2 linked regions of the Drosophila melanogaster genome follow. The gene in region 1 interacts genetically with each later gene. Each region holds a gene or a part of one and is shown in the gene's direction. Other genes may lie near its edges.

Region 1 (5,577 bases):
CCTTCGTCCTGCGTATGCAAATCGCTCGCCCGAGTCCGCGATGATTCCTTTTCAATTCGAACAATGCCGAGGGTCGCCGCCCTGTCCTTTGGCCACACATGTTTGCGTCTGCGTTTTTTCTGCATTAATCGTCCTATTTGGAAAAAAAAATGATTAAACCCTTTCGTTCGGTACATTTTTTTCGAAGATTTTTCCCCGTTTTTTTCGAGGTTCATCTTTTTTTTTTTTTTGCTTAAGTCATCCCGTTGTTGTAATTTCACTTTTCCGTGAGAACTTTTGATGGGTTCTGATGGAAATAGGATGCTCAGGTGGGACACAAAAGAAGTTTTTTTTTTTGGGAGCAAAAAAATAGTTTTATTTCGAATAAAACCGGAATAAAGAAAAAGAAACGTGAGAGTTTTGGTGTTCACATTAACGTATAATAATTTTAATGTAATGTTTTAAATAATCTACATGCTTAAAATTGATAAATTAGTTAAGTTAGTTAGGTATTGTAACTAATTTGATTTTTTTTTAAAATTAAGTAGCTTCTTTGTTACATTCTAAGATGTAACTAAATTAAAATGATAGACCCCATCCTGTTGCGGTTGGTATCTACTTTCCAAACGACCTAAGGCGATTTATGTTCGAATAATCGAGGTGCCTGCATCGTCGTGCCCAGCATCCTAAGCAATTCACCCCCCGGCGTGATGAACGATGATGGTCTTGGGCTCGAAAGGATTCGATCCAAGATCTGACCGAGTTTTCTCAATTTGCATATCGAGGGTCGCGAGCTCCTTTGAGGGGTGCTATCGTCGGGGCAAGGGTTTGTCATGGGAACAAAAGACGCATTCATTGCCGAAGAATAGCCGAAATCAATATTTGAGGTAATTAATTAACTGCATCAATATTGGAGACGAGGAAATCCATAACGATATTCACATTTACCAATCAATTGATTGACGATTGAATGTTATCTTGAATTTTATCGCTAGAAGTCATTTGGAAAGTTATTACGCTCATATTTCATATTTTAATTAAATATCGTTAACCGAATTTTTTAACTATCAGAAATGAACTGGTTTTCATCAAAAAGTTATTTTTTTATACTTTGTTAAATAAATTGTTGAATAAAGTGGTTTACCTCGATTTCATCATTTTTATATCTGATCTTGAAAAATTTTACATTATTTAATTTTAAATCAAGCTCACTCTCAATTTTTTGTTATTAAATATTCTCATTCTGCTAATTCAAATCGAGCGGTTTTATTTCTGTTCTCCATAACGCGATCTGGCAACCTCTTCCCTTAAAATGTTTCATCCCTGGGAAGAGGGTTGCCTCTGCTTCAAAAAAATGGCGCGAAATTTCAACATATCGTAAATTCAATATAACAAATATCTGATGGGCAAATTTTTAACAGATTATTTTTAAAATCTTTTTTTTATATATTTACGGTCAATTACATTTTGATTACTTATTTAACATTTAACCAAAACTTTTAGAAAAGAAATATAAAATTTTTAGAAATATTCGAATACTTCATTTGCGAATCGAAAAAAATTACTGAAATAAAATTATTTATATTAATGGGAAATATTGGCCATTTGAAAAGCACCTGCTGTGCTGAGTGACCGCACTTCGCTCGTCAAGTGTGGTATTTTTTAGTACGTTTCGGCGCTTAGCGCGTGCGGTCACACAAACGCCAGGTACGTGTCCAAAATCATGAATCGAAAGTAAATGAACAATGTTGCTGCTTCGAAACGCAAATGCTCGCTAAACTCGTGAAATTGGGATTCGGAATCGCAGGTGCGAAATCACACGGGTGGGGAAATCGGATTCAGATGCACTCCGTCGGCGAAGCGCAAAACAACTGAGCACGCAACAACAAAAACAGTGACAGCAACAGTCATAACAATAGCAACACTCACATCAAAACACAATGACAACACGCACGGTGCAGAGAAATCTGTGGGCCTCCGCTGCGGTGGTCCTAGTTCTGCTCCTGCTCTGGACGGACACCACTGGAGGCTATTTTGCAGCCATCGATGAGACGGAGACTAGCAAAAACTGCTTCTGCGAGGTGGGTTAATATTCGGATTATTGTACACAGTAACGGTAAAATTAATTGATGATTTAAGCCATTTAAAAATATGTTTTTCAAAAATATTAAGAAGTTGATTTCATCATCATTTGCTTATCCTTTAACGATCTCTACTTAGATCTTAAAAAAAGGCTTTTAAAATTGTATTTTAAACTGAAAAGTATGTAGTTGAAATACTGGAGATTAGTAAAAAAGAATTCGTGCTTATATTAGTTTTGCTTTAATTGCAGTGCAGAACGTACAGAATACTCAATTATTTATTTGTGATAATTAATTAATTACACTTGCTTCACTAATAATATTTGACCTAGTATATGTATAGTACTCAGCTAACTTGAGATCAAATTTTTGTATACCTACTATTGCCACCTCGACTGTATGATATTTATATTCTTCGCAGTTGGAGGGATCTATAAACGACTGCAGCTGCGATGTGGACACGGTGGATCACTTTAACAACATGAAAATCTATCCGCGATTGCAGAGTCTGCTGGTGAAGAACTTCTTCCGCTTCTACAAGGTGAACCTGCGGCAGGAGTGCCCCTTCTGGCCGGATGACAGTCGCTGTGCGATGCGCTTCTGCCAGGTGGAGAACTGCGAGGAGCAAGCGATTCCCCAGGGCATCAAGGACAAGGGAGAGCACAAGGAGAAGGCCGCGTTTAAAGTAAGATTCCGGGTATTTCCATCGCTATCGTCTACACTACGCCTCTTATCTTATTCAATCTTTTGCCAAAATCACCACTATCTACCCAATCACTCAATGGGCTTGCAGGTGATTTATTTTTATTCGAATGTCTGCGGCTCCACAAGAATGAACCGCATCGATAATCTTCAACTGAGCCTACACTGTTAATGATGTGGCCTTTGATTTTGTTTTGCAATGCTGACGTGGTCTTCACATCTCATCAAGCGTTTGCCCGCCCCTTTTTAATTGTCGATTAACTTATTAACTTATCTAAAATATTGATCACTCCTTAGCAGACTATACCATACAGTAAAATATTATAAACAAAAATTCTATACCCCAAAATGAGAATGAAAATCAATTATTGTTTTTAAAGATAACTCAAAAAAAAAAAAAAAAAAAGAAACAATGCAGTTCAATATACGTATGTATTTAACAGCAGAGGTTCTTATCTTCACAAACAAAAAACAATTGATACTCGTACATAGCAAAAAAAAAACAAAACCATATTATCTACCAGATACTTTATTAACGTATAGATAATTATTTATACCGATAATGCCGTTCAAGAATGTATTGATATATTTGTGAAAAGCTTTATCTGTTTCTTCAAAGATTACTTAACCATCAATGAAATAATGACTGACTTAAAACTTAAGCTTATTTGTTTGCACAACTGGCTCACTTCACCTTACTGACTTCCTCATCTGCATCTTGTATTTACAGTACACGCGCGAGGCGCAAGTTGGGGGCTCAGCGTGCTCGGATGGAGAGGATTTCGACAGCTCTCTGGGTTTCCTGGACACGAGCATAAGTGATCAGGCGCATCGGGAATTCGAACTGTGGGCGAAGCATGATGAGGCGGAAGAGGACTTTTGCATCGTGGACGATCATGAGGAGGGATCCCAGTATGTGGATCTGCTCCTAAATCCTGAGCGGTACACCGGCTATAAGGGCGAATCGGCACATCGCATCTGGAAGAGCATCTATCTGGAGAACTGCTTCGGTGGCAACAACGAGACGGCTAACAAGTTCTCTAACTACGTGCCTCATTTGGATTTGCGAAATGTGTGCTTGGAGCAGCGTGCCTTTTATCGCATTATTTCTGGCCTGCACTCTAGTATCAACATTCATCTGTGCTCCAAATACCTGCTGTCAGAGTCAAAGGACTTCTTAGATCCGCAGGGCATCTGGGGTCCCAACGTAAAGGAGTTTAAACGACGCTTTAGTCCAGAAACCACAAGCGGTGAAGGTCCGCACTGGCTGCGAAACCTCTACTTCATCTATCTGATAGAACTGCGCGCCTTGGCTAAGGCTGCTCCTTATCTGCGGCGAGAAGATTACTACACGGGCATCGCAGAGGAGGATGATGAGGTTAAACTAGCCATCAATGATATGTTGAGTGTCATAGAGTGAGTATAGGAATATTCTTTTTTCTTACAATGTTTCAATTTAGCTTCTTTTTGTAGAAATTTTCAATCCCACTTCGACGAGAACGCCCTCTTCAGTAATGGAATCGCTTCTATTAAGTTCAAGCACGACTATAAGGAAAAGTTCCGAAACATATCCCGCATCATGAGCTGCGTAGGCTGCGACAAGTGCAAACTGTGGGGGAAGCTGCAGACGCAGGGATTGGGTACTGCTTTAAAGATTCTCTACTCAGAGAAGCTCAATCTGGCCACGGAAAGCGGGTTGTGGGACAAGCCGCACATCGAAGCGGATCCCATCTTCAGGCTGTCGCGAACAGAGATTGTAGCTCTATTTAATGCGTTTGGCAGGTGCGTTTTAAATGATAAAATGGCATTTCTAAAATACTTACATCTATACACTTGCTTGCAGACTATCCAACAGTATATACGAGATGGAGAATTTCCGGTGCGTGCTGAGGTAACCCATCCAGACTGGACTAACCGAGCGACGAGCCGGATCTCATTCGCCTCACATGAGCAGCTAGTTAATTCATACGCACATCGCTGGGGCTGCGTCTTGGACTTCCTACTGAATGCGGTTTCCCTCCCATAGTTCGTAACATTTTTGAGGCCAGAGGCTAGTAACCCCAGGATAGCTGCTTCCCTGTACATACAAACTATTACCCTAGGCTACTTGTACTTTAGCGCACCGTATCACCCTAAAAAAAACCAAATGACAAAAAAATAACCCATGCAGGATGCAGGTGTTTATTGTAAGTTAGCATAGTATTTATTGTATCTGGAGGAGTTTGTGAGCGGAACTTAATGAGCAAGTAAACGCATTGTGCAATACCAAGACCTTACGACACAAGGCGCTAAAATAAACTTCTGTCTGTTTTGAAACACCCTCTCTAACGTCTCCATCGATACGGGTCCTAGCAACCGAGTTGTTTGCCATTCCAGCTGTCGGCTTTTGTGACATTAGCAAATTGCTATCCAGTCGATCGACACTTGATTGCTCTTGTGACTATATTTTCTGTGCGAAATGGTGCTTCTTCAGGTGAAACGCGGAGACGAGCTTATCTTCCTCTATGAGACAAGCGTTAAGGAGAAGACTGATACTGTGCTTCGCGAGCTTGTGGCTCTGCACAATGGTCAACTGAAGATTCAGCGTGTCTGCATGGAGATTGAGGAGCTGGCCGAACATGGCACCATGGTGCCGCCTGAAATGATTGGCCTCAACGAGGAACAGAGGGAAGAGCTCAAGCTTAAGGATGTCTGGGCGGATAAGTGCATCCCGTCTGGTGGTTTCACTATCAACAAGGATCCGCTCCTTCGCCGTAACGGACAGCAGCCAACTGAGGCGATGCAAAAGGTCCTGGCAGGTGCCATGAACGACGCC
Region 2 (4,251 bases), on another chromosome or scaffold:
GCACACAGATGCAAATGCTCAGCGACAACAAGCAAATGCAGTCTATTTCGTCCTTTAAAAGGCACTGGAAAGTCTCGAACTTCACTGTTTGGGTAACATGAAATCTTTAGCTAAACGATTGTCTCAACTTTAATTGCAAATTAATGGGAAACAAATTAAAAACACGAAACGAAAAACAAAACAGAAAACAAAATAACGCGACGCTCAACACGACTGCTTCGCAGGCAGTTATCGACTGATGCTTATCGGTCGATATTCACCACACCTAGTATGACCACAGGGGCGATACCCTTTGCTTGGCGCCATTATCGATTTCCGATCGTTATTTTCAAATTCGAAATATAAACAGCAAACCTTTAATAATGCTTCAATCAGAAAACATATAAATCAGGAAAAAATAAATCGTATTTTAAAATTATCAGTTTATTTATTAAATTCTAAAGTATATACCCGCGATGGAAGTTGGTGGTAGGCATTACATAAAATGAGCATCGCACCTCCGCTTGATATCACTAACCTTTTGTAGTTACCCTAAACAACGAACTCGAGGAAAAGATTTCGGAAGCATTTTGCATATTTGATACTCATGGCGATAAGTATATTGATTCCCGCAATGTCGGCAACGTGCTCCGATTTTTAGGTTGCGCGCCCACCGAAAAAGAGGTCGAAGATGTCATTAAAGCCACCGATTCCGTCGACTATCCAGGCGAAGCCCATTTGGTGAAGTTCATGGAACACGTTTCCAAACTGCTGATGGATCGACAGTTATTCAATATACTTTAGGTTTGTTTAGCAACTAACGATATTTGTCCACAGAATGGAACCAGCCTCGTCGGAAAAGCTTCTCGAGGCCTTTGAGACCCTGGATCCAGAAAATAAAAAATATCTGACCAAGGAGTACTTCGGCAAATTAATGGCGGAGGAAGGAGAACCTTTCTCCGCTGAAGAATTGGATGCTATGTGGCCTGTGGCAATTGATCCCATTACTGGACACATTCCCTACACCTTCTACATAAATCAACTCAGGGTAAGATCGCATTTCCCAACTACTTTTGATTGGATTCATCTAAAATTTCCAGCACAAGCCTGATATCTATGAAATTGCCGAGGTTATCAAGGAGGAACTAGCACAAGCCGAAAAAGAAAAGGGCAAGAAACCACAACAACCACTGTTTTAGATGCCCCTTTAATCAAGCAATTGCAAATAACGCGGAAAATAAATTTATACATTTTATAACAAATAATTTCCTTTCTCGTTTTTACTGTTCCACATTGAGATATAGACGGTCACACTGCCATGCGCAATTCGAGATGGCATAGTCGTTGTTCTATGTTTGGATATTAAAATGAATTGTGTGAAAAATTTAAGGAACTATTTTTTGTTTTAAGATATTGCCTGAAATGTTACAATATATTTATTAAATCCAATAAAAAAAAATTTACAATACATTTAAGCGCTTTTACAAATCATCGTTGCTCTAAATTAACTGAATTTGTAATCGATAGCCCGATACGTGCTGCTCCATCCCTCATTACCCCAACTCTTCTAGAAAAACACGTCAGCTTTTCACAGCCATTCGGAAAAGAACACGTCAGCAGAAAGGAAAACTGGTCGGTCGATATTGCAAAGGTGGATGAGAAAATTGCGTGAGACGGAGCCAGAAAAGCCCGAGTCGGCGGCGATGAAGAGATTCAAACCAGCAGAGCGTCCGAGAAGCGCAGTCGAAGTTCATGAGACGACCTAAAACAAGCAAAAGTTAAAATACGCTCTTACAATGCAAATCTAAGTGGAAAGTCGCTTTTCACAATTGCACACAGCACACAGCAGTTTATCATTTAGCCCCGAACCAGTTAAACATGGCACCCACAGCAAACACAGTGCTAATTACCGTGCCGCGGACAGCAATCACATCGAATAATCTGCCCAAATTGCGGCCCGCCCCCCTTACGGCAGCTCTGCTGAAGGTGTCGGCCACGCCCTCCGCCTCGCCCACGCCCTCGAGTTCGGGATACGCATCCTCGTCGAACATGGATGACGATAACATGGCTGCATCCCAGCCCAAGGCCAAGAAGCGTCGCCTGGACCATCTAACCTGGGAGGAGAAAGTGCAAAGAAAGTAAGTCCACCCAACTTTTAACCAAATTTGAGCGCCTTATTTAACTGTTATTATCGAACAACAGGAAGCTAAAGAACCGTGTGGCCGCCCAGACATCGCGTGACCGCAAGAAGGCACGCATGGAGGAGATGGACTACGAGATCAAGGAGCTGACAGACAGAACGGAAATACTACAGAACAAGTGCGATAGCCTGCAGGCCATCAACGAGTCACTGCTGGCCAAGAACCACAAGCTGGACTCGGAGCTGGAGCTGCTGCGCCAAGAACTCGCCGAACTGAAGCAGCAACAGCAGCACAACACCAGATGCATCAGCCAATCCAACGCCAGCGCAGGCGCTGAGGGCTGTGCGTCCACCAACCTTGGATCTGCAGCATCCAAAGCTGACCCTCTGCCGCAGGGTATACAACAGGTGGACACACAGTCGTCAGCGCGTCTGCTGGCGGAGCAGCTGAAGAGCAGCAAGAGCCTGGCCTCACTCTGGAAAGTTGTGGCCCTCTGCCTACTCTACAAGACATGCTTGGCGTCGACGAAGAGTTCGACGTCAAGCGCCTCGAAGAGCTGGCCGAAAGTCTGCTCGCAGATATCACAGCAGACCTGGAAACAGGCGCTGGAGCGAGCAGCCCAGCTGCTGCCCAAGATGCAGGCAACGCAGAGCGATTGCCTGGACCAATGGTGGGGCCCGCAGCAGAGCGCTTGGAATCCGACGGGCATAGAGCTAATGGCCTGAATGTTGAGCAGGAACAGGAAACCGAGCACAAGGTCAGCCTAAATGTGCAGATGTTGAAGATAAATGGAAACCCACAGCATACCACAGCAGCGCCAGCCTCGAGAACAGCCACAATCACAGCGACAGCGGCCGCCTCGCAACTACAGGCCACTCCGGACACAGTGTACGGCACGTATGATGCCAAGACGAACTCGATCACCATCGTGATGGACGGGGATGCGGTGCCGGTGAACGAGGCCGTCGAGGAGATCTACTGTGACGGCGTCAGCGCTGGCGACGACTCAACGGACGTGATCATGAAGTGTCCGCCGCCAGCGACGTCTCCGTCACAGGTCTATCTCAACGTGATGAACGCCGTCGACAATTCGGACGACGAGGAAAGCTTCGATCCGATCGACCGATTCCTACGTCCGCGCGTTAAGGCGATCTCCCCGTTGGCCAAATCCCCCGCATTGTCTCTACACTCGGCCACCTCGGACCATGGATACGAGTCCATACTGGGCTCTCCCACATCCGTGGCTCTCACTCTGCCCGCAGATGAGGACGATTTCCCCTGGGAGAGCAACTTTGACGAGCTGTTTCCCAGTTTGATCTGAGTTTTTCAAGCTGAAAACTTCGTTCTGTCTCTCTTTTATTGTTAAGTTTGGCCGGCCGCCGTTTGTTTAAGTTTTTTAGTTGATAGGCTGTACATAAATTCATAATCGAAGGCTTTATATATGATACTGTAGTTAGAGCGCTAAGTTTAGCTGTAGGTTTCCATTTATATTTAACAATCTCTAACCACATAGGCTTATGATTACTCTTATATGTATGTATTGTGCTCAAAGAATTTGAAAAAAAAACATTTGACTAAAAAATATTCAAAATATAAACCAAACCAAACAACAAGCTCTTTGTTTTTGTTTACTCTAGGCGAAACAGAACTTTGAACTGCGTATGATAAATAGTTAATCACGCCACTTCTCTAGCATCACGCCACTTTTTTATGACGCAATTTCTGCGTAGATGATGGGACAGTTTTAGGTGTAAGCATATGAGTCATTTTGTTTTTATTAACCAAATATATATATATTACAAAAAGTGAGTTGAACTGACTGCAGATAATGCGGATAGGTGAAATAAAACCACAACTATGCTCTGAAATATATGCACCTTATTTATTAGTATATTATTCATTAATAAGACGAAATACAGCTCTGTTTTTCTCCAAACTGAACTAGGATTTAAACAAGATTTTGCTAAGCTCGAAAAATATATTTTTTAAAGAATATAAATAGAGCCACCCTAATGCGCCAGCAAAAGCGAATTTGTTTCGGAACTAGTTCGAAAAAGTTGTTTATAGACTTGAACCAGTTTTTGCTTACGAACCACATACCTGTGATTTTGCAGAAAGATAAACAATTTTT

Evidence for each region. Genes that interact genetically often act in the same process or in processes that back each other up.
Region 2: of Ero1L (region 1) and Xbp1, changing one suppresses a phenotype caused by changing the other (phenotypic suppression), as found in Drosophila melanogaster (one study listed by BioGRID).

What each region holds. Positions count from the first base shown.
Region 1 is NT_037436.4:4,168,733-4,174,309, forward strand, and holds Ero1L (endoplasmic reticulum oxidoreductin-1-like), read left to right. Parts: upstream 1-1,671; 5' UTR 1,672-1,919; coding exon 1,920-2,060; intron 2,061-2,481; coding exon 2,482-2,745; intron 2,746-3,492; coding exon 3,493-4,178; intron 4,179-4,235; coding exon 4,236-4,544; intron 4,545-4,605; coding exon 4,606-4,657; 3' UTR 4,658-5,057; downstream 5,058-5,577. Other genes in the region: CG18675 (uncharacterized protein), read left to right, coding at 5,221-5,577. UniProt on the Drosophila melanogaster protein: Oxidoreductase involved in disulfide bond formation in the endoplasmic reticulum. Efficiently reoxidizes pdi-1, the enzyme catalyzing protein disulfide formation, in order to allow pdi-1 to sustain additional rounds of disulfide formation.
Region 2 is NT_033778.4:21,142,020-21,146,270, forward strand, and holds Xbp1 (X box binding protein-1), read left to right. Parts: upstream 1-1,529; 5' UTR 1,530-1,857; coding exon 1,858-2,117; intron 2,118-2,181; coding exon 2,182-2,845; coding exon of another isoform or gene 2,846-3,441; 3' UTR 3,442-3,731; downstream 3,732-4,251. Other genes in the region: CG9406 (uncharacterized protein), read left to right, coding at 456-468, 527-764, 817-1,027, 1,080-1,178.